Linked DNA regions of Macaca fascicularis. Each later gene encodes a partner of the first gene's protein in a complex. Links are inferred from orthologs where the notes say so. Each region holds a gene or a part of one and is shown in the gene's direction. Other genes may lie near its edges.

The links. The genes of interacting proteins can lie anywhere in the genome.
Region 2: TAF5 (region 1) and transcription initiation factor TFIID subunit 13 share a complex: the UniProt entries of both Homo sapiens proteins name them as parts of the TFIID basal transcription factor complex. The link is inferred for Macaca fascicularis from reciprocal best matches to the Homo sapiens genes TAF5 and TAF13.
Region 3: TAF5 (region 1) and TADA2B share a complex: the UniProt entries of both Homo sapiens proteins name them as parts of the TFTC-HAT complex. The link is inferred for Macaca fascicularis from reciprocal best matches to the Homo sapiens genes TAF5 and TADA2B.
Region 4: TAF5 (region 1) and TAF4 share a complex: the UniProt entries of both Homo sapiens proteins name them as parts of the TFIID basal transcription factor complex. The link is inferred for Macaca fascicularis from reciprocal best matches to the Homo sapiens genes TAF5 and TAF4.

Annotation. Positions count from the first base shown.
Region 1 is NC_088383.1:112,411,205-112,416,723, forward strand, and holds part of TAF5 (transcription initiation factor TFIID subunit 5), read left to right. Parts: intron 1-3,920; coding exon 3,921-4,158; intron 4,159-5,519. UniProt on the Homo sapiens protein: The TFIID basal transcription factor complex plays a major role in the initiation of RNA polymerase II (Pol II)-dependent transcription.
Region 2 is NC_088375.1:125,371,756-125,377,775, forward strand, and holds the start of transcription initiation factor TFIID subunit 13, read left to right. Parts: upstream 1-2,023; 5' UTR 2,024-2,085; coding exon 2,086-2,112; exon of another isoform or gene 2,113-2,286; coding exon of another isoform or gene 2,287-2,287; intron 2,288-2,874; exon of another isoform or gene 2,875-2,972; coding exon 2,973-3,051; intron 3,052-6,020. UniProt on the Homo sapiens protein: The TFIID basal transcription factor complex plays a major role in the initiation of RNA polymerase II (Pol II)-dependent transcription.
Region 3 is NC_088379.1:6,046,124-6,052,247, reverse strand, and holds the start of TADA2B (transcriptional adapter 2-beta), read left to right. Parts: upstream 1-2,127; 5' UTR 2,128-2,128; coding exon 2,129-2,653; intron 2,654-6,124. Other genes in the region: CFAP184 (cilia- and flagella-associated protein 184), read right to left, coding at 72-1,751. UniProt on the Homo sapiens protein: Coactivates PAX5-dependent transcription together with either SMARCA4 or GCN5L2.
Region 4 is NC_088384.1:118,112,115-118,118,300, reverse strand, and holds the start of TAF4 (transcription initiation factor TFIID subunit 4), read left to right. Parts: upstream 1-2,189; 5' UTR 2,190-2,256; coding exon 2,257-3,616; intron 3,617-6,186. UniProt on the Homo sapiens protein: The TFIID basal transcription factor complex plays a major role in the initiation of RNA polymerase II (Pol II)-dependent transcription.

The DNA of each region.
Region 1 (5,519 bases):
CAAGACTCTGTCTTAAAAAAAAAAAAATTTTTTTTTTACATTAATATTGTCAAGAGACAAGTCATTCTCATGTTGAATTTTCTCCCTTTATTACATGAGTGGTTATGAGGGTTTTTTTTTTTTTTTTTTTTTTTGAGACGGAGTCTCGCTCTGTCGCCCAGGCTGGAGTGCAGTGGCCGGATCTCAGCTCACTGCAAGCTCCACCTCCCGGGTCTACGCCATTCTCCTGCCACAGCCTCCCCAGTAGCTGGGACTACAGGCGCCCGCCACCTCGCCCGGCTAGTTTTTTCTATTTTTTAGTAGAGACAGGGTTTCACCGTGTTAGCCAGGATGATCTCGATCTCCTGACCTCGTGATCCGCCCGTCTCGGCCACCCAAAGTGCTGGGATTACAGGCTTGAGCCACCGCGCCCGGCCGAGGGTTTTTTTTTTTTTAGACACAGTCTCGCTCTGTCGGCCAGGCTGGAGTGCAGTGGCACAATCTTGGCTCACTGCAACCTCTGCCTCCCAGGTTCAAGCGATTCTCCTGCCTCAGCCTCCCAAGTAGCTGGGACCACAGGCGCATGTCACCACACCTGGCTAATTTTTTTTTGTCTTTTTGGTAGAGACGGGGTTTCACTATGTTAGCCTGGATGGTCTTGATCTCCTGACCTCGTGATCCACCTGCCTTGGCCTCCCAAAGTGTTGGGATTACAGGCGTGAGCCAGCGCGCCCGGCCACGTGAGGCACTTGTAATATGTATATGTAAAATGTTTGGTATGGATAAGTTTATGCCTCTGTATGTGTTCCTGACACCTGAGCCACTGCTTTCTCACAGCAACTGTTGCCACAAATCCATGCAGTAAAACTCATATACAATATAAGGTCTCAGAGGTGATCCTGAGCTGACAATAAATGTTTATTGAATTATCCAGTGCAGAGCTTTTAGCCAAATTAATCTGTATGAGGCCTAATCTTTGCAGCATTGCCAGAAATGAAGTATGAATACATAGCATTGTATTCATATCACATTGTAATCCATAAATAGAAATGTGTGCAGATGTGGATTGAAGGCCGGGCGCGGTGGCTCACGCCTGTAGTCCCAGCACTTTGGGAGGCCAAGGCAGGTGGATCACTTGAGGTCAGGAGTTCAAGACCAGCCTGGCCAACATGGTGAAACCCCGTCTCTACTAAAAATACAAAAAAATTAGCTGGGCGTGGTGGCATGTGCTGTTGTCCCAGCTGCTCGGGAGGCTGAGGCAGGCGAACCACTTTAACCCAGGAGGCAGAAGTTGCAGTGAGCCAAGATAGCGCCATTGCGCTCCGGCCTGGGCAACAGAGCAAAATTCCGTCTTTACAAAAAAAAAAAAAAAAAAGTGTTTGAGAGGAATCTTTTTTTAATGTTGAATTTTGTGAATGAACTATAAGATGAATTATATTGTTGGTTATTTTGCTGTAATCTCCTATCTCTTCAGAAACTTGACCTAATTATAGATCATAACTGAGAAATCAGTAAGGAGGAAAAGAGGCCATCAGAGTAACCGAAGAAATTATCACATTTGTGCAGTAAAGAGCGAAGTGTACTATAATGGCAACTTACAAATATTTCCAACAACCAAATTCTGATTTGACAGATGTATTGTTAGGTGGTGCTGTGTTACAAATAAATAGTTATGTTTTCTGTTTTGAAATGCTGGTTATGGAAATTGTTTTAAGCATATAACTATCTTTTTTTTTTTTTTTTTTTTTTGAGACAGAGTCTCGCTCTGCCGCCCAGGCTGGAGTGCAGTGGCGTGATCTTGGCTCACTGCAAGCTCCGCCTCCCGGGTTCACGCCATTCTCCTGCCTCAGCCTCCCAAGTAGCTGGGACTACAGGCGCCCGCCACCTCGCCCGGCTAGTTTTTTTGTATTTTTTAGTAGAGACGGGGTTTCACTGTGTCAGCCAGGATGGTCTCGATCTCCTGACCTCGTGATCCGCCCGTCTCGGCCTCCCAAAGTGCTGGGATTACAGGCTTGAGCCACCGTGCCCGGCCGCATATAACTATCTTTTGAAGATATAAATAGGGCATGGTCCTTCCCACCCTTAAGTGGTTACATTTTATAAGGGGTAAGAGATGTATATAATGTGAAGGGAACACAGGATAGGATATGTTACAGGAATGTTACACAGTGCTTGGGTGGCTCAGAGAACTGGGAATGTTACTGCAGTGCATGGCTTGGTGGTAATGGGTGCCATTTGAACAGAGCGTTGAGAGAAAGTTAATGTAGTTGTTTGATTTGCACATACCATCTTTTATACAATTTGTCTTTAACATAAGGTAGTTCCAGGAGGAATATTGACTCTTCTTGTTATTGTTTTTTTTGTTTTTGAGACGGAGTCTTGCTCTGTCACCAGGCTGGAGTGCAGTGGCGCGATCTTGGCTCACTGCAACCTCTGCCTCCTGGGTTCAAGTGATTCTCGTGCCTTAGCCTCCCGAGTAGCTGGGATTACAGGCACGCGCCATCACACCCAGCTAATTTTTGTATTTTTAGTAGAGATAGGGTTTCACCATGTTGGCCAGGCTGGTCTTGAACTTCTGAGCTTGTGATCCGCCTGCCTCAGTCTCACAAAATGCTGGGCCACCGTGATGGCCTGTTATTGTTATCTTAAGATATGGATGTGCTGACAGGTTTCGGTTTGGGTGACTGAAACAAGTGAAAAAAATTCTATTAAAAGATTATGGCTGGGCGCGGTGGCTCATACTTGGTTTTTTTTTTTTTTTGAGATGGAGTCTCGGAGTCTCGCTCTGTTGCCCAGGCTGGCGTGCAGTGGCGTGATCTTGGCTCACTGCAACCTCCGCCTCCCGGGTTCACGCCACTCGCCTGCCTCAGCCTCCCGAGTAGCTGGGACTACAGGCACCCACTACCATGCCCGGCTAATTTTTTGTATTTTTAGTAGAGATGGGGTTTCACCGTGTTAGCCGGGATGGCCTCGATCTCCTGACCTCGTGATCTGCCTGCCTCGGCCTCCCAAAATGCTGGGATTACAGGCAGGAGCCACTGTGCCCGGCGGCTCATACTTGTAATCCCAGCACTTTGGGAGGCGAGTGGATCACCTCTGGTCAGGAGTTCAAGACCAGCCTGGCCAACATGGTGAAACCCCCCCTCTACTAAAAATACAAAAATTAGGGGGCATAGTGGTGCATGCCCGTAATCCCAGGCATGCACCACCATGCCCTGGAAATTAGTTAGGGACTGGAACAGTAGGCAGGTTCTATTGTTAAAGTGAAGGCATTGAAAAAAAAGAATAGGCTGGTTCTTGGGCCATGTTGAAGATCTTTGTTTACCCTGAGAGCAGTAGGGAGTTGTATTGGGTAGGATTACTCAGGAGGCTGAGGCAGGAGAATTGCTTGAACCCGAGATGCGGAGGTTGCAGTGAGCCAAGATCGTGCCATTGCATTACAGCCTGGACGACAAGAGTTGAAACTCCATCTCAAAAAGAAAGAAAAAAAAAAAGACTGTGTGGGCCAGGTGCGGTGCCTCATGCCTGTAATTCCAGCACTTTGGGAGGCCGAGGTGGGAGGATCACAAGGTCAAGAGATCGAGACCATCCTGGCAAACATGGTGAAACCCTGTCTCTACTAAAAATGCAAAAATTAGCTGGGCATGGCGCATGCCTGTAGTTCCAGCTACTTGGGAGGCTGAGGCAAGAGACTCACCTGCGAGGCGGAGGTTGCAGTGAGCTGAGATCTCCATACTGCACTCCATCCTGGTGACAGAGCGAGACTCCCTCTCAGAAAAAAAAAAAAAAAAAGATTATGTGATTGTGTTGAGGAAGAGACGTTGGGAAGAAAGAGACAACAATCTGAGCAACAACTCACCTCTGGGCCTTAACAAAACAGCCATAGTCACATGGTCATAATAGGTCATTTTCTTAAAAGTTGTTTTTTGTTTTTTAAACAGTTGGAAGTGTTGCTGTGGAAGACCAGCCAGATGTCAGTGCTGTGTTGTCAGCCTACAGCCAACAAGGAGATCCCACAATGTATGAAGAATACTATAGTGGACTGAAACACTTCATTGAATGTTCCCTGGACTGCCATCGGGCAGAGTTATCCCAACTCTTTTATCCTTTGTTTGTGCACATGTACTTGGAGCTAGTCTACAATCAACATGAGAATGAAGCAAAGTCATTCTTTGAGAAGTATGTACATTTTTACATATATATATACACACATAGTGTGTGTGCGCGTGCATATATGTTCACATGTGTAACCACACAAATGTAAGACTGCAACTTAAAATGTACGTTGTGAAGGAGAGGTACCTAAGGCTATGAGAACTTAAAATGTGGGGTTTAATCTAGCTGGAGAAGTCAGAGAAGGCTTCCAGAGGAGATGATACTTGAGGTGAGATCTGATATCTGAAGATTAGGTAGGAGTTAGCCAGATGAAGAAAAGAGGGAAAAGTATGTATTAAAGCTCTCTGGTGGGAAGGATTCTGGTAGGTACAGAGGCTGAAAGATGGCCAGGGTAGCTGGAGCAGAGAATGGGATGGGGGTGTGGTATACCATGAAGCTGGGAATTAGGGACTGGAACAGTAGGCAGGTTCTATTGTTAAAGTGAAGGCATTGAAAAAAAAGAATAGGCTGGTTCTTGGGCCATATTGAAGATCTTTGTTTATCCTAAGAGCAGTAGGGAGTTGTATTGGGTAGGATTAGGTTTCATTGAGAGTCACTGAAAACTCATCAGCAATGGCATAAATAAAAGTTTATTTTTGCCTTTATCTTAAGAACACTAGGAAGCAGTGTTAGGATTAGATTAGAATAAGAGTAACTGAGAACCCAAACAACAGAGGTTTAAATACAATAAAAGTTTATTTATTTTTCTCATAAAGGTGGGACATTCGGGATTGGTGTGGTGGGTTCTTCATTACCAGGGCCCCAAGCTCCCTCAGTCTTGTTGCTCTCCCATGCTTTTCATGCATGTTCCACTTTGTGGCATAAGATGGTTTTCCTGCTCTAAGCAGTCACATCAGTGTGCCAGTCAGCAGTTAGGGCACACGGAAACTGCACACACTTCTTCCTTTTATATCTTAACAGTCAGTGGCCACACCTAGCTGCAGGGGAAATAAGAAATGTAGTCTTTACCTAAGTGTCTATGTGCCCAGCTGATATTCAGGTTTTCTTTTATGGAGGAAGACAGGAAAAATGGGTATTTGGGGAGAGTGAAGCCTTTTTGCTACAGAGTCATTTCTGCTACAGAGTCATTAAAGGACCATGTCATTATTATATACTTTGAAAGGACTTCTATGCAGTGGGGAAACACATGGAGGATAGAATGACTATAGGGACAAGTTTTGGAAGTTATTGCAGTGGTTCTCAACTGGGGGTGGAATTGCTCCTTCCACTAGACCATTTGAAAATGTGTAGAGGTGGCCCGGTGCAGCGGCTCACGCCTTTAATCCCAGCACTTTGGGAGGCTGAGGCGGGCGGATCACTTTGAGCTCAGGAGTTCTAGACCAGCCTGGTGAAACCCAGTCTCTACAAAAAAATGCAAAATTTGC
Region 2 (6,020 bases), on another chromosome or scaffold:
TTGAGGATTGCAACTCAGCAGCATAAAGTGGCCCGGAATACACTCTAAGATTAGCAGCAGGTACAAGTGGATTTTTAACGGAAAAGAATGAGGACGGGGAGTGGGCTGACACAAAGTTGTCCTTAAGGAATTCTCATTGGTTTACAAAAATAACATTATCAAGCTATAGGGTGTGGGATATAGTGTCTGGTGGGGCATAATTAGGCTAATTTATAACTAATACTTGTGGAATGGCAAGCAGTTTTAAGACATAAATACATAGCTCAAAAGGGGGCAAGTAGGATGTGATTGCCTCTCATTTTAATGCCTCTCAGGGCCTAATAATTTAACTCACTTTCCTCAAATCAAAGTTCTTTTTTCAGTATTCACTATTCAAATTATTACAAGTGATGTTGCTTTTGGTGACGTTATTTCTTGAAATGGTACACAACTCTTAATGAATTCCAAACAAAACAATACAATTACTATTCAATTTTGGGGCAATAACATTCCTAGAAAATTCAACGTACATTAAAAGTGTGGGAAAATGCTTTGTGTGTGTGTGTGTGTTTTTTTTTTTTTTTTTTTTTTTTTTTTTTTTTTTGAGACGGAGTCTCGCTCTGTAGCCCAGTCTGGAGTGCAGTGGCCGGATCTCAGCTCACTGCAAGCTCCGCCTCCCGGGTTCACGCCATTCTCCTGCCTCAGCCTCCCGAGTAGCTGGGACTACAGGCGCCCGCCACCTCGCCCGGCTAGTTTTTTGTATTTCTTAGTAGAGACGGGGTTTCACCGTGTTATCCAGGATGGTCTCGATCTCCTGACCTCGTGATCCACCCGTCTCGGCCTCCCAAAGTGCTGGGATTACAGGCTTGAGCCACCGCGCCCAGCCGCTTTGTGTTTATTAACAAAGATAGGTTCAAGCCTCACATAACTACTTTTCACTCACCGAATGTTCAGCAGGACATTCAGAAATCGTGTGTATTGCGGGATTTTCTTTATGTAGCATCATCTGTTACACTGTAGGACACATATTTTATATCCCTAGCTCTGGCCTTCCAATGCCTGTGGTTTTCCCAACCATTGTTCCGACCAAAAGCCTTCCCCAATGGACACGGTGGCTCACACTTGTAATCCCAGCACTTTGGGAGGCCGAGGGGGGCAGATCGCTTGAGATCAAGAGTTCCAGACCAGCCTGGGTGATGTGGCGAAACCCCATATCTACTAAAAATACAAAAATTAGCCGAGCATAGGTGGTGTGTGCCTGTAATCCCAGCTACTTGGAGGCTGAGGTGGGAGGATGGCTTGAGCCCAGCAGGTCTAAGCTGCAGTGAACCCGGATTGTGCCACTTCACTCCAGCCTGGGGGACAGTGAGGCTGCGTCTCAAAAAAAAAAAAAAAAAACCAAAAATGAGGCCGGGCATGGTGGTGCACGCCTGTAATCCCAGCTACTCGGGAGGCTGAGGCAGAAGAATCGCTTGAACCCGATAGGCGGACGTTGCAGTGGGCCGGGATTTCGCCACCGCACACTCCAGCCTGGGCGACAGAGTGAGACTTGGTCTCAAAAAAAAAAAAAAAAAAAAAAAACACACACACACAAAAACAAACCTTCACAAAATTTTAAATGCTTAGTTTTGGGACACCATCTCTTGGAAATTTGTGGTGAAGCACAGTATCCCCAGTAATTAACATAGTGCTTAGAAACAGTGGAACCACAACTCTTTAAAATGATTTAAAAGCATTTATGTCAGATAAAGGACCGCTGGCTAGCCCTCCTACGATCCATAGCTTCGCAGTCCCCAAACAGGAAGGCGTGATTCAATGCGCAGTAGCAAATTTAGGGTGACAACGAGATACATCCCACGGAGCCCGTGATTTCCTTTTCTTTGTTAGTTTTCAATTCCTTCAGTGTTACAGGGAGGAGCTCCGGCCTCCTCCGCTAAAGACTGTCGCATTTCCGCCGCTAGGCCGGAAAGCACCACCGTCCTTCCGCAGGCCTCAGTCAGCTAGGCCCAGCTCCAGCCCCGCCCGTCACCGGAAGTGAGGCGACGGAAGTAGCGTAACCCGCTGAGAACCAGCCGGCGGGGCGCTGTGGGTTGGCGGGCTAGTGGGATGGCAGATGAGGAAGAAGACCCCACCGTGAGTGACCGTCTGTGTCCAGAACCTCTCTTTTCTTCACTCCTTCGGGCTCAGTAGCGGAGGCAGAGTTCAGGATCGGATCTGCTTGCCTTAGTCAATTCAGCCGACAGAATTCGGGGACTTCACTCCCTAAGGATTGATCATTTTAGAAAGTGGGGAAGGACATGAAGAAAGAGTAGGTTTTGTGACCCCTTTCCCCTTGATTTTGATCTTTATTTGCCAGACACTGAAACACTTACAGAATCATCAGACGTCAAAACTAACATCTATTAGCGCTCACTATGAACCAACAGTTCAATTGTTAACAAAACTGTACTTACTGTGAAGTAATGGGAAAAGAATGCATTGAAAGTCAGACAGCCTGGATTTCAAAATCTCCATTCTCTCTAAGCAAGTTATTTAACTTTGACAATCAGTTTTCTTGTTACAAAATAGGGTTACGGGCTTACTTAAGGAACGTTTTTAGCACCGTATATGCAAATGCTTAGTAAATATTAGTTTTGCTTAATTGAAAGTCTACAAAGGTAGACTTTGATTCAGTATCAACTGTTTAACAGTAGCAATAGGCCACCTTAGTTGTTTAAAAATAAAACCTATGGTCATTGTAACTCTTACACGTAGAAGCAGTAGGATTATTTGTTAGGAACATTGTAGAAGCCATTTTTGGATGAGTTGGAAATTGGACTCGATACCTAGGCTGCTTACGTGCTAAGGTTTTGTGTTTTTTTTTTTTTTTTTTTTTTTTTTTTCTGCTTCCTTTAGGCTTTCTGGCCTATCTGTTGAAAAGGAAAAAACATTGTTATTATTAAAATATCAAATGCAAGGCAATTATTTGACATTTCTATATATACGTTTTCTAGTTTGAGGAAGAAAATGAAGAAATTGGAGGAGGTGCAGAAGGTGGACAGGGTAAAAGAAAGAGGCTTTTTTCTAAAGAATGTAAGTAGTATTTGACAATGATTTTGTTATAGATGATGAAAACTTTTGGACATATCCTTTCCAAGTACATTTATTGCTTTGAATGTTTCCCTGTAGTGACAATATTCTCAGACTAGCCTATCAAATTCTGTTTAGCTTTTGAATCAGATAGTACCAATCCTAACCCCAGTTATATGTGTGTGTATGTGTGTCTGTGTATAAATTGCTTTTTAGGTGAGCAAATGTAGTTCGTGTTTTAATTTAGGGCAGAAGAACATACCTCCATTAGTTTTCCTCTTGCCTTTGCAGCAGTAGAAAGAGAGGCTTCTTTGACTGTAAGCCACAGATACTAATGGATCCTGCACCAGGTGTTGAGGGAGAGTAGCAAGTGAGTTGGGGCTTGGGCTTTGGACTAAGGCTATGAACAAAGTAAGAAGGTGGTGAACAGCTGGGTGTAGTGGCTCACGCCTGTAATCCGAGCACTTTGGGAGGCTGAGGCAGGTGGATCACTGGAGGTCAGGAGTTTGAGACCAGCCTGGCCAATGTGATGAAACCCCATCTCTACTAAAAATACAAAAATTAGCCAGACGTGCTCGCTTGAACTCAGGAGGGAGAAGTTGCAGTGAGCCAAGATTATGCCACTGCACTCCAGCCTGGGTAACACAGCAAGACTCTGTCTCAAAAAAAAAGAAGAAGGTGGTGAATAGTGTAAGACATTAGAGTGACATGGAGGCTAGATGCAGTGGCTCACGTCTGTAATCCCAGCACTTTGGGAGGTCAAGGCAAGCAGATCGCTTGAGCCCAGGAGGTCAAGACCAGTCTGGGCGACATAGTGAAACCCTCTCTCTACAAAAAATACAAAAATTAGTAGGGCATGGTGGCACGCCCCTGTAGTTCCAGCTACTCTGGAGGCTGAGGTGAGAGGATGGCTTGGGCCCAGGAGGTGGAGGTTGCAGTAAACCCAGATTGCGCCACTGCACTCCAGCCTTGGTGACGGAACCAGACCCTGTGTCCAAAATAAATAAATAAATAAGCAAAATAAATAATGACATGGAGATTATAATGTATTGATTCTGCATCCTACCCCCTCAGTAGATGCTTTTGACCCTTTTTGGCAACAAGAGGAAGGGAGAGCTGCTGCTACTACTGATGGTACAGGCCAAGCCCTGGAACACAGCATGAGAATGTGCTCTCCATCTCCAGTCCTGGGTCCTTTATGTAAAGTTATATCTAAGTATTGAGAGATGAGGCAACACAGATTTATGAATATGGTTTATTTAGGCGGGGTTATATGTGAGCAGTTCCCAAATGCCCTTGAAACTACAGGGTCAGTATATCTTTTTTTTTTTTTTGCAATTAACTGGGCATGGTGGCGTGTACCTATAGCCCCAGCTATTCAGGAGGCTGAGGTGGGAGGATCACTTGTGCCCAGGAGTTCAAGGTTGCAGTGAGCTGTGATCATGCCACTGTACTCTAGCCCCAGTGATAGAAGAGTGAGACCCTGTCTCGCCACCAGCCCCAGCTAATTTTTTGTATTTTTAGTAGAAACGGGTTTCCCCATGTCAGCCAGGGTGGTCTCAAACTCATGACCCAGATGATCTGCCTAACTCGGCCTCCCAAAGTGCTGGGATTACAGGCCTGAGCCACCATGACCAGCCATACCCAGCTAATTTTTGTATTTTCAGTAGAGACTAGTTACACCATGTTGGCCAGGCTGGTCTCAAACTCCTACCCTCAAGTGATCCTCCTGCCTCAGCCTCCCAAACTGCTGGGGTTACAGGCATGAGCCACCACATCCAGCCAGACACTCTTATTTTTTAACCATCCAAATCCTTTTCCATATTTCGTTTCCTCACTAAAGCTGAACATTTCTTATTTCATTTCTCTGATGCTCCTTATACCATTATGTGGTTTTACTTATTATATCAGCATAAGAATGGGATCCTTGTACCAGAGCATCCCAGAGTGATGTTCAGTTGGTTGTTAGCAAAGACCTTTTTTCCAGTGAGATTAGTTTGTGATGACAGGAATTTGGAATCTTCAGGCTTCTCCTTATCTTAACTGAATATTCATAGAGGTTACTGACGAAAGATCTGTTTCGTGAACCTTAAAAAAAAAAAAATTTGCAGGAGACTAGGTACAGTGGCTCATGCCAGTAATCCCAGCACTTTGGGAGGCCAAGGTGGGAGGATCACTTGAGGTCGGGAGTTCAAGACCAGTCTGGCCAACATGGCAAAACCCCGTCTCTAATAAAAATACAAATTTAGCTGGGTGTGGTGATGCGTGCCTGTAACTCCACTACTCGAGGGCCGGACACGGTAGCTCATGCCTGTAATCCCAGCACTTTGGGAGGCTGAGGTGGGTGGATCATGAGGTCAGGAGATCGAGACCATCCTGGCTAACACAGCAAAACCCCGTCCCTGCTAAAAATACAAAAAATTAGCTGGATGTGGTGGCACATGCCTGTAGCCCCACCTACTTGGGAGGCTGAGGCAGGAGAATTGCTTGCATCCAGGAGACAGAGGTTGCAGTGAGCCAAGATGGCGCGCTGCGCTCCAGCCTGGGTGACAGAGCAAGACTGCCTCTCAAAAAAAAAAAAATTCCAGCTACTTGTGAGGCTGAGGCTGGAGAGTCACTGGAACCTGGGAGGCAGAGGTTGCAATAGGCCTATAGAATTTCAAAGCATTATCTGGCATTTGTTTATGCCTTTATAGACCCTTTAGCCAAATACAGTTTACATACTTCCCATATAATAAGTTTCCCTTTTCCAGTGAAATATATTTTCTGTCTGGTGAATTCTGCCCATCAAAATGTTAGTGACAAAGTATCTTCCTCGAAATATTTAAACAAAAACAGTAAACTTACAATGGAGAATTCTGGAAGACACCATGTTAATCAAGTGATCAAAGCATCACTAATAATATACAGTATATTGACATTATATACCCCTGATATGATGCATTAAGAGGACACATCACCTTGGTGTTCTT
Region 3 (6,124 bases), on another chromosome or scaffold:
ACAAAGGTAAATAAAGCAGGACAGCATGTCCTGAGGATGAAGTGTTTTGCAGACTCTTCTCATCGATCTGGTCAAGAGGGGAGAAAGGCTTTGGCCTCCCTGATCTTTTGCCTCACGCCTCTGCAGGACAAAGTGAGCCCAGCGTGGTGGCGCTTCAGGGATTCCAGGCGCTGGTGGAGCAGTTGGGTCTTGTCCACTTTTTCTTCCAAGTCCCGAAGAAGTGAGTCGTTGCCTAGAAGCCCGCACTTCTGATTCAGCCTGATGTTGTCTGTCCGCAGCCCCTCTCGGGCTTGCTTCGTCTTGGTCAGGATGTCTCTTCCTTGGGCGACCTGGGCCTCGATTTCTGCCAGCTGTGTCTTTTTGCACGCGTTCTCCGTGTCCATGAAGTGCAGCTTTTCCTTCATGTGGGTTATTACTTGCACACTGTTGGTCACCTTGTTGCGAAGTTTTAAAAGTTCCTCATTTCGTTCCTCAATTTTCTCATTGAAGGTCTGGTTCTCAATCTTCAGCTGTTCAAAGTCAATAAGAAGCAGACCCTGGGTCAGGTCCTCCTGGGTCCTCATCCTGGTTTCAAAATGCACCAGGCTCTGCTTCAGCTGCACGTTCTCCAGCCGCACGGCGCTCATCTCCTTCTCCTTTTTATCCTCCAACGCCAGGATCTGCTCCACCTCTCGCAGAGCAGCCTGGCGCCCGCCCCTCATCCGACAGCTGCCCATGGCCTGCATCACCACCTGCTTCTTGAGTGCCTGGAAGCGCCGCCACTCCTTCTCCACTCTTGAGAGCTTCTCCTGGCACTGCTGCTTCAACTGGCCCAGCTCCTGGTGGTACCACTGCAGGTCGTCTGCCTGCTGCTTCTTCAGGTCCTCCAGCATGCCCAGATGGCGCAGGTACGCTTGCTCTTTCTCGGGGGCCTCTGCTTGTGCGCCCCGGTCAGGCACCTCCGCCGCCTCCAGGCCCTTCTTTTTGCGCAGCGCCTCGAAGATCTTGTGCTGCAGGTACAGGTTGTAGCGCTGGGAGCGGTTCCGCTCCATCAGCAGGGAACGGTACTGGTCCAGGAGGTCGCTGCGCAGCTGCTGCTCCTGTAGCTTCTGGACCTCCTCGGACCACTCCAGGTCCTCAAACTCGTCCCTTCCACCGAGGGGCTTCCCCTCTTCCTGGCTTTTGGCCGGGCGTCCTTCCCCAGCCCTCCCCTCGCTCTCCGCGCTGTCTCTCCGTGTCTCCTCCTCGTCCTCCTCCTCCCCCTCCACCCGCTCTGTCTCGGCCTCCGGGGCTGCAGCAGCCTCTTCCTCGCCGATCCTGGTCAGCGGCAGAGAGGCCTGGGACCGGACTTCCTTGCCCTCCGCCGCCTGCTCCAGCTCCTCCGCCCTCGCCTCCGCATCTAGTTCCTCGGGCCCGGCTCCGGACTTCGGCTGGACGGGCTCCTCAGCCCCGGCCTCGGCCGGCTCTTCGGGTTCGGGCTGGGGCTTGGCCGGCCTCCCCGGCTCTCCAGGCCCCTCCTCGCCCGCAGCCTCGGCTGCCGTTAGCTCTTTCGGGGCCTTGGCCTGCTCGTCCGCGGCTGTGCCTCCCTGCGAAGCCTCCTCTTCCTCCTCCTCCTCCTCCTCCTCCTCCTCTGGCTCCGACTCCAGCTCCCCGGGTTCGGGAGGGGTCGGAGGGCCGGAGCTGGCCTTGATCTTGGACGGCCGCGCGGCCAGGCTTTCCCCGTCTCCGCCTTCCCCGCCGGGGTCCTTAGTGTGCTCAGACCCGCCCTCCATCTCCGCCCGGCTCTGCCAGCGCAGCGGACCCCGGCAGCATGCTGTTAGGTTTCCCGGGGCAACCGAGGGCGCGCGCGCTGGGCCCGGCGATTGGCCAGGCGACAGGCCGTCGTCCAGCCTCTTCTCCCCGGAGAGCAAGCCAATGGGAGGCCGCGAGCTGGCGATAGGCGAGATTGATTGGAAGCGGCCGTGGGCTCTCGCCGCGAGGGGCGTGGCGTCCCCGCCGGGCTTTCTGCCTGCCCATTTCCCACCGCTGGGCCTGGGGCGGGGCGTTCAGGAGGCTCTGGGAAAGGCGGCGGCGGCCGGCGCGGGGTGCGCGCAGGCGCAGAGCGGTGGGCCGGGCGTCCGCAAGGTGGCGCCCGCGGGGCGCCTGCGCGATGCGGCGGGGCGACAGCGGCCGCGGTGGCGGCTGCCGGGCCGGGCCGGACGGCGCCTGCGTACTGAGGCGGGACGCGGCCCGGCTGGCTGGCTCCGGCGGCTGCTGGGCTGGGGCCGCGGTGGCGGCAGCCGCGGCGACGGGCGGCGGTTGCTTGTGCGCGGCGGCGGCGGCGGGTCCCGCGGGTGGCGGGGCGCTGACGGCCGGGGGCGCGGCGGCTGCGGCGGGCCGGGCGGCGGGCGGCGAGCAGGGGAAGATGGCGGAGCTGGGGAAGAAGTACTGCGTGTACTGCCTGGCCGAGGTGAGCCCGCTGCGCTTCCGCTGCACCGAGTGCCAGGACATCGAGCTGTGCCCCGAGTGCTTTTCGGCCGGCGCCGAGATCGGCCACCACCGCCGCTACCACGGCTACCAGCTGGTGGACGGCGGGCGCTTCACGCTCTGGGGGCCCGAGGCCGAGGGCGGCTGGACCAGTCGCGAGGAGCAGCTGCTGCTGGACGCCATCGAGCAGTTCGGCTTCGGAAACTGGGTGAGCAGCGCGACAGGGGCCGGGTCCCGGCTAGGGCACAGGAAGGCCCGCGCCTCTCCTGTATCGGGCGCGCAGGCAGCACTGGACCTGCTCGCTCCGCTCGGCACCCCGGAAGGCCCCGGAGGTGGGGAGGGCGACGCTGCCGGTTTATAGTCGGGCACCTGTCGGAACCTATGCTCAGAGAGGCTGTGACGCGCCCAAGGTCACAAAGCCGAGACGGGGCCAAGTGGGGCTTTGAACGCTGGTTTCTGACAGCAGAGCCATTTCCCTCACCTTCAGGGACACCTTCACAGGCGTTTGCGGAGTGCAGACGTTGGGCGAGACGCGGTGCCTTACCTGAGTTCGTGGAGTCAGGCAGGCCCACAGACTCGACAGAAAGCGGTGGGAGCACCAGGGAGGGAGAACGGTGGGCGCCCTGCGGCTTGTCTCGGGGTCTCTGGGGCGGCCCCGTTTGCTTTCTGTCATTGTATGCATGTGCCCTGTGTGGTGTGCCAGTGCACAGATTCTTTGTGGGTAGCGTGCCTGGTTAATGCTTGGGTCTCCACAACCCACGACATTGTGCGAGTGGTCAGTAAAGAATGAACAAAGAGGCCTGGCCTGGGAGGCCTGGGGCTTGGGTTTTGCTCTCTTTACGTTTGAGGTTTTTGTAGAGACAGCTCTGTGTGGGGAGCGGTGAGAGCTGGACTGGATCCACTTACGCTAGCAACATCGTGTGCTAGGTTCTGTCCTTGAGAGAGGAACATGGTTGTTCTCTCTGGGCGGTTTCTCAGCTCTCCTTTCATTCTGGAAGCTTGCATCCGTGTTAGAAAGGAGAAAATCTCTAGCCGTATTCCCACTCATAACCACCAAAGGCATGTGGCCATCCCCAGGCACCCTGAGAAGGAGGGGAGTGAGACACCCCAGCGCCCTTAGCTTTGCAGAGTCTTCCCCTGCTACACCAGGTGCCTGCTTCTCGGAACAGCGTCCATCTGCTGCCACGTCTCCAGCAGTCCTGCCTGGGCTGCTTTGATTGCCTTTTGCTTTCCTTTCCTGAAAGAGTCTCAGGACCGCCTCATATACCCATTCTGAAGCCCTGGAATCTTGATTCTCCTCCCAGCTCCTTAGAGAAGATGGTCCTTTACAAATCCTTACCTAATGGCCACCAGCATTGGGATCGCCATTTTTCAGAAACTCTGGCCCATCTTGTCCTTCCATGCTGTTTGTGGATATGCACTGAGCTTGTGTTCCGTGCAGATTCTACAGTGGCGGAGGACTCTGAAGGAAAGAGAAGCTTTTATCCCTCCATTCAGGGAGCTTAAAGTGTGGTACTGACTTGGTCCTGGGCCCAGAGCTCCTCCCTAGCAACAGCCATCCATGTCCAGCCACCTCCCTGTCCTATCTGCCTCTTAGTGTCCTCTTGACTTACTCCTTAGTTCCTTGTTCCACTAAGTTCCTGATCCAGTTTATCAGCTGTCTCCTCACAGTACATCCAGAACAAACTACTTCTTACAGCCGTAGTCCCGGCTGATGTTTACTTCTTGCCTTGACCACTTTGGGAGCCTCCTTGTTCGTTATTCCCCCTGCACCCTATTCCCCCATTCCACACACCATAACCAGAGCGAGCTTTGGAAGCACAGAGCGCCTCACACTGGCCTCAGTGGCTTTTACTTCAGTTAAGGCTGCCTTAGAAGTGTTGAGCAATGAGATCTCATCTGTTACCTCCCTTGATCATTTTATATTTCTTCTACCTAGAGTGCTCTCCCCCAAAATCATGGCCCAGGATCGATCTTTCCACTTACATATCAGTGCCTCAAAGGGCTCTTCCCTTCACCATCCCAGCAATTATCTCTATGTTAGCAGCTAAGGAGGCGCAGAGCCTTGCTGGCATATCTTCGCGTATCTCAGGACATTTTCCCGACAGCCCTTGGCAGTTGGCTTTGGATGGACCAGTTTGACTTCAGAGCCTGTACTCTTAACTACACTGTCTGCACTGCCTTCCCTGCGGCACTGTGGAACATACACAGAACACAATACCTGGGGAACAAAAACATTTATTTGGTTTTGGAAGAAACCAGGCTAGAAGTGGAGAGGCCTGTCTTCTAAAACAATACTTTCCGAACTAATGTGCACACAGACCACCTGGGGAGCTGGTGAAAATGCAGATTCTGACTCAGCTGTTAGAGGAGACAGAGCCAGGAGAGGAAGGGCATGGGGCTTGGGCTTGGGCTTGGTGCACAGGGGGCCTGGCCAGGCTGCGGTCAGGGCGTTCTCCCACGGCACCAGCGCCAGGCCACGGCGAGGCCTGAGAGCCTGCATTGCAGCCAGGGCGCAGGGGGTGCGCTGGCCCGTGACCCCCGCCCCCTCCCCCGGAGTGGTGAGGTACCAGTATTCAGTCATGCTGCCATCTCCCTGGCAGAGCCTCGTTGTGCTAACCCCTGGGACTTTATTTTTCTTCCTCTGAGGCTGTTCTGCAGCTCTGAGATGGGCGGTCTCTTCTGAGCATGTATCCAGCTATGTGCACAGAGCTGGCGTGTCCCACTGCCTCTGTCCGCTCTAGGCCAGGCTCTTCCCATACGTGTCTTGTGGGATCTTCCTAGCAGCCCTGGGGGTTGGGTTCTTATTCTTACAGTTGAAGAACAGCAGCTCTAAGAAACTAAGCGCCTTGTCAGGGATTCCATGGCATTCATGTGATAGAGCCACGAATGAATGCTGGCCTGTGTGATTCCAAAGCCTGGGCCCTAACCCATGGGTGAGAGCATTAGGCAATGTGGGTCACAGGCTGGGAGGCCGTCGGTGCCACCGCAGGAGTGGATGGAGTGGAAGGGCTTGACCTGATTCACTGGAGATTAGTGTGGGGGCAGGGCCTGGGCTCCTAGGCCGCCACTGTGAGTGTGGAAGGAGATGGTGTGGGGGCTGGGGACAGTGATGTAAAGAAAGTTGAGACTTGTTGAGTTCTACTTTCAGATGTCAATTGGTGACACCTGGCCTGGGGGTTGTACTACTGCATGTGGGATTCATGGGAGAGGGTGGGTTGTGGCCAAACCAGGCAGCTTTGTGGTCACACTTTGTACCAGGGCTGGGGGATGGGGCCTGAAGGGGACAGGATGTAGCTGAGCAGGGTTTACAGTGACAGCTGGGGGCTTAGGGACAACCTGTGTGCTGCCGTGTGTGTTTCATAGTGAGGCGCAGAGAGAACAGGTTAAAGGACCTTGGCGACAATGGGAAAGAGTTGGCAAGCAGTGACCCAGAGTCAGATCAGCGGGGTTTGGCGTCTCTAGATGGTTCTGTGCAGGATTCCAAGAGTTAGAGGATGCAGGTCCTGCTGGAGCACAGGAACACAGACACAAACACAGGTGACAGCTGAGGGCAAGTTGCAGCTATGGCAGAGGAGCCGAAGCTGTTGATTGGTTGCCAAAGAAATTGGACTGACACTGAGGAGCTTGAGGAGGGCCAGTGCACCTCTGCAGGTGGTGGTCAGGAGGGCTTTGGTGG
Region 4 (6,186 bases), on another chromosome or scaffold:
GGGTCTTCTGGTGCACAAGACCCTCCTTGCAAGGGAAGCTGGGATAGGTGGGCACAGACCCTAAACTCCTCACAGTTTCTGCAGTTGCCAGGCTGGACGGTTCCTCAGAAGATCCTGCGGATAATGTCAACCAAGGCGTGTGTGCAGGAGGCTGAGCCCAGCCTACAGAGAGCCCCGAATATGTTGGAATGAAGGGCTCCTGGCGGGGCCTTGGAGAAGAGAAGCCACCACTGTGTGTAGATGGCAGGAGACTCATTACAGATCTCAGTGGAGTAGCAGCGGACTTGAAGAGTGGAGGCCTGAGCGTGGGAACCTTCAGTTACCCCAGCCTTTGGGACCCAGGGGCCTTGGAACTTGGTCTGTTTCATGCGAGTCCGGCGTTCTGCTTCTGCTCCCACTCCAGTGTGAGGGGTCTGAGGGTATGGGCTGTGCTGTGAGCCTGGTGCGCCCCACCTTGCAAGTTGTGCATGAGGCCGGTCAGCCTGCCTGTGGTTTGACCTACTTTAAAAATGTTCTAATTAGTTGTCAACACTTAAAAATTAAAAATCTCGAGATTTAATCATCACTTTATATCTCTGCTCTTTCTGGAAAACTCAGACTGTCCCCCTACTGAGCTCAAGGTGCCCCATATGTGCACCCATAGGGGCCCTCCCTGCCGTACCCAGCTGGCTTCATTCATTTCCTTTCCTGCCTTCTGGGAGCCAAAGTTCAGGTACAAAATTCCAGCTGTACGTTTGCAGTGATTTCCCCCGAACACTGTTTCCCTAGAGGGGAGGCACCTCTCCTAGGCTCCGTCCTCAATGCTCATTGGCTGCTGCTGCTGTCGAGAAACAAGCCTGGGGTGAAGTCCCGTATTCCAGCTGTCTCAGTCAGTCCATTCCCTTGCGAGGCTGCAATTCGAACAGGCACAAGGGTCCAGTTCGGGTCTGCTGTTGAGACTAGCAGTCTCCTTTGCTACAACAATTAAAAAAATCATTTTCTATGTCAGCAACGTCATTCATCGTCCCGAGGTCTCTGCTTATTGCGGCGCTGTCTTCAGCTGCGAAGACTGATCCTGCGGCCTCTTGTCCCCAGTGAGGTCCGAGGCAAGGAAGCGTCTCTCTGAAACCTATTCTGGGCTCTTAGAAAGAAATGGGAGAAAGGAAAACCACTAGAAATGTCCAATAACACCATCTTTTGGTTGGAAAATAAAACACGCAGAAAGAGAGAACTGGAACTTTTACTGAAGTATTTCTAGAGAGAAGGTGCTTGGGAACATTTTAGGTAACTTACTCCCCTCCCCCAGCAGAACGTAAAAAGAAAGCTACTTCCAGATTTGCCAGCTCGGGAACTTCGTTTGGCGCCTGGCAGGCACCGTGCTCTTACCTACGGGCTTATAATGACACTCCCGTCTCCAAGGCAGCTAGGTGCGGGTACAGTCACCCCGGGGCGGCTTAGTTTATTGATTAAAAATGGAGGGAAGGGCCAGGGGTGGTCACGATTGGAGGGCGAGAAGAGCCGTGCGCGCAGGACCCCTCCCCACCGCCCGGGACCGGCTACCCAGGGGCGGACCCAGCTTCCTTCCCCGCGGCGGCTTGGAGGGGCCGGGCGCCGGTCCCCGTCCTCAGGGCGCGCTGCGAGAGCCCCGTCCCCGTCCCCGCCTGCTTCTCGGGCCCATCCACTCCGGGGCCTGCGCGCTGCCCGGCCGGCGCCCCGGCATCCCCGCGCGCTGCTCCCCGGGCCTCGGACGGGCCCTGCACCTCCGCTGCTACCGCACAGGGCGGCCCGCCCGGCGTTCCCGTCAGCGCCGCCGCAGCCATTTTGGAGCGAGCGGAGACAAAGAGCGAAGCCCCGTCGCCGCCCCGCGCTCGCCTCGGCCCGGCCCGGCGCACCGTCCCCGCATCCCGCGCCCCGCCCGGCGGCCACCGCCCCGCCCTGCCCGCCACCGCCCCGGCTCCCGCGTCCCCGAGCACCAGCCCCCGCGCTTCCCGCCGCTGCTACCGCGCCCAGGCCGACCGCCCGCGCCCCGGCCTCTAGCGCTCGCAGCCATTGGCCGCGCCTTTTAAGCGCGCACCGCAGCCAATCGCCGGGCGCCCGCGGTCTCCGCGCCTGCGCAGGAGCGCCACCCCGCGCCCCCGCCCCCCGGCCGCGCGCCCCCGCCCCCCGCCGGCCGCGCGCCGCCCCCCGCCCGCCCAGCGCCCGCCCCACTCGGAACCTCCTCCTCGCCCAGGCGCGCTCGGCCCGAGCGGCGGCGGCGGCGGCGGCCGAGGAAAAAAGATGGCGGCGGGCTCGGATCTGCTGGACGAGGTCTTCTTCAACAGCGAGGTGGACGAGAAAGTGGTGAGCGACCTGGTGGGCTCGCTCGAGTCGCAGCTGGCGGCCAGCGCGGCCCACCACCACCACCTCGCGCCGCGCACGCCCGAGGTGCGGGCCGCGGCCGCCGGCGCGCTCGGGAACCATGTTGTGAGCGGCAGCCCGGCCGGAGCCGCGGGCGCAGGGCCGGCCGCCCCCGCCGAGGGCGCGCCCGGAGCGGCGCCGGAGCCGCCCCCCGCAGGTAGAGCGCGGCCGGGGGGCGGGGGGCCGCGGCGCCCGGGCCCCCCCTCACCGCGCCGCCCCCTTGTCCCCGCAGGGCCCGCGCCGCCTGCCGCGAAGCTGAGGCCGCCGCCCGAGGGCAGCGCGGGGGCCTGCGCCCCGGTGCCCGCCGCCGCCGCCGTCGCCGCGGGGCCCGAGCCCGCCCCCGCCGGCCCCGCCAAGCCCGCCGGCCCCACCGCGCTGGCCGCCCGCGCCGGCCCCGGCCCCGGCCCCGGGCCCGGGCCCGGCCCCGGCCCTGGCCCTGGCAAGCCCGCCGGCCCCGGCGCCGCGCAAACTTTGAATGGGAGCGCCGCGCTGCTGAACTCGCACCACGCCGCCGCACCTGCTGTCAGCCTGGTCAACAACGGGCCCGCCGCGCTGCTGCCGCTGCCCAAGCCCGCCGCCCCCGGCACTGTCATCCAGACGCCCCCCTTCGTGGGCGCCGCCGCGCCCCCCGCGCCCGCCGCGCCCTCGCCCCCCGCCGCCCCCGCGCCCGCCGCCCCCGCCGCCGCCCCGCCCCCGCCACCCCCCGCGCCCGCCACCCTGGCGCGGCCGCCCGGCCACCCTGCCGGACCCCCGACCGCCGCGCCCGCTGCGCCGCCCCCTGCCGCAGCCCAGAACGGGGGCAGCGCCGGGGCAGCCCCCGCCCCCGCCCCGGCCGCCGGGGGCCCCGCGGGGGTCAGCGGCCAGCCCGGGCCTGGCGCGGCGGCTGCAGCGCCAGCGCCGGGGGTCAAGGCCGAGTCGCCCAAGACGGTGGTGCAGGCGGCGCCCCCGGCGGCGCAGACCCTGGCGGCCAGCGGCCCGGCCAGCACGGCTGCCAGCATGGTCATCGGGCCAACTATGCAAGGGGCGCTGCCCAGCCCCGCCGCCGTCCCACCGCCCGCCCCCGGGACCCCCACCGGGCTGCCCAAAGGCGCGGCCGGCGCAGTGACCCAGAGCCTGCCCCGGACGCCCACGGCCACCACCAGCGGGATCCGGGCCACCCTGACGCCCACCGTGCTGGCCCCCCGCCTGCCGCAGCCGCCTCAGAACCCGACCAACATCCAGAACTTCCAGCTGCCCCCAGGTGAGTGGCCGCACGGGGCGGGAGGGAAGGGCGGGTCCCAGCAGCGCCAGCTGCCAGTTCCAGGAAGTTCTCCGCTGGTGGAATGCTAAGGTCATCTGTCCCGTAGGCCCGTGGCTGGAGCAGGCCGAGGGGCAGCCTCTACCCAGGTGCGGGGCCAGCCCGGGTGGCTGCCTGCGAGTGAGCCAGAGGGAGTCGGCATAGTCTGCGTCCCTGTCGCTGTTCCAGACGTCCGCGGTGGCTGCCTGTGGCTGGGGCTGGTCTGTTTCGGAGTGGCTCAGCCAGGACTCCTACTGGAGCGGTCCTTACCTGCTCCCGCCCTGTGTGCCCCTGCCCCGGTTGGAAGGCTCAGCGCAGGGGCTCCCTGGGCCAGGCGATGGGGTCTGCAGAGCTGAGGGCAGAACCTGGAGGTGCGAGTGGCAGCAACTGTCCCCTGCTCAGTTCTGCAGTTAGGCGTGTGGCCTGTGTCCCCACTTAGCCTTTCTACCCCTTTGTGACCCTGGGCTTGAGCCTCCCCAGTCTCCAGGCGAGGACGGGGGCACGACACCCCCTCCTCGAGGCTCGGGAAGTCGGGATGGAAGGCTTGGGCTTCCCTGTTGGCCACCAGGAAGGCAGAGATGTCGGGCGCACCCTGCGAGAGTCCTCCAGGCGCGCAGCCTTGCTGAGAGCCATGCTCTGGAGTAGGGTTTCAGCACCGTGTGTGTCACCGTCTCTTCCAGCGCTGCGTTGGTGCCTAAAGGAAAGAGCGCCCAGCTAGTCTGGTTGCTGCCCCCTCGGGAGGGCAGTGGGAGGGCGGTGGCAGCAGATGCTCTCACTCCGTGCAGGGGTCTCGGGGTAATACTGGCTGTGCTGCGGATGCCTTGGGCTCAGACGCCCCTTCTGCCTGGCAGTACTCACGCTCTTGGTCTAGTCTGCTGTCTCTGCGACTCTTCAGGGCCCCTCAAGTTTGACGGGAAAGATTGCCTGACCAGCATTGCACGCTAGGCTGCTTTTGTCTGGGGCTCCCCATCCCTCCCCAGCCGCCTTGGTGGGTGCTGGGCAGGGGAGCTCCTCCCCGGCCTGTGGTGACGCGCGCCATGCAGTTGTAGCAGCTCGGTGGCAGCAGTAGTAGGAACTTCGAGGAGAGCGTGGGTCTTTTCTGTGTCCCCTCTCTGAAGGGAGCTATTGGTCACTTTGAGAGGTTTGCAGCATCTTCAGAAGTGAAAGGTTTTCCTGTCCGAGTATGTGAAGTTCAGGGCTGGTGGTCAGACTGGACAGGGCGGGGGTAGGGAGAGTCTGTCTGGGAGACCGCTAGGCTGCAGTGCTCCAGGGAGGAAGAGGGCTGAGAAGCCACTTCTCCGGGGTTGCTGAGACGCCCGTTGTGACAAGCTGTTGGAGTACTGAAGCATTTGTAGGGATGTTTCGCCAAAGTCTTGGTTTTGCTCCTATGTGTATATTGACCTTTTAGTAGAAAATGTGGCTGAACTTTAGTAATGTTGTAAAAAGGTGTTTGATGGCCGTGATCTGTTATGTAAACTATCGCAATGCTTTATTTATAAAAATGTTTTTCCAGCGGTCCCGCATGTCTCAGCGCAGGCCAGGTGCCTGTTGCACCACTTTGGATAGGTATTGGACTCCGCCTTGAGGGGCTGGCCAGGTTGTCTTGCTCTGAGCCTCTGCATAGGTAAAGCCTCATCTCTTTCTTCTGGGAGGAGGTGGAGGAACACATAGTTGGAAAAGGGCATTTCTGCTGTATTTATCATGAGTGATTCTGGGACTCACTTCCATCTTCTGTTTTAAGGTCAGTTTTAGGGTCAGGTGTGTTTGATGAGGTGACAACTTGAAAAACAACTGTAGGAGTGTTGACTGTGCGTGATTCCCGTGTGTGAGGACAGAGGAACAGCTCACACAGACGTTTGGGTGGCAGTGCTGAGAATGGTACTTTCAAGGAGCTGAATGCTACTGTCTAAAAAATGAAAGATTTATCGCATTTCTTCATGATCCCCTGCAGTTGATCTACTGATGAGGAATTTTGATTGTTGTTTATTTCACTAGTAGCCAAAGCAAAAAAAATACATATATATCAATAAAACTAGCAGTGCCCCAAACCAGAGTACCTTCTTTTATTAAACAGTACAACTTAATTTTGTAAATCAAAATGGCAAATTGGAAATACTCTGGTTACTTCCTGTAATTGATTGATCAGAGAATATTAAATTATTCTAGTTGGCTCCCTCTTCATTGAAATATTTCATAATAAAAATGTTTAGAACAAAGATGGAAGTAACAAAAATAACTCTTGCTTGGCTAATAACTCATTCTAGTAACAACTCAGTCTTGCAAACTGAGGAGGAGCCGGGAGTATTAGGGGTGGGCAGGGTTCTCGAAGCTGCATGTGGGTGTCAAGTGGAGTAGCAGATGAATGGCAATTGGATGGGGTGTGAAAGGGCCTGCCCCTCCCAGGCCTTCCCTGTGTGGAGGTCTTGGATGGGAGAAGGGAGGGGACAGAGAGGTTTCACCCTGAAGTCTTTCTGGCTAAGCCTTAGGCCCTGAGTGTTTCAGCCCCACAGTGCGCCACGTATGTTGAATTTGGC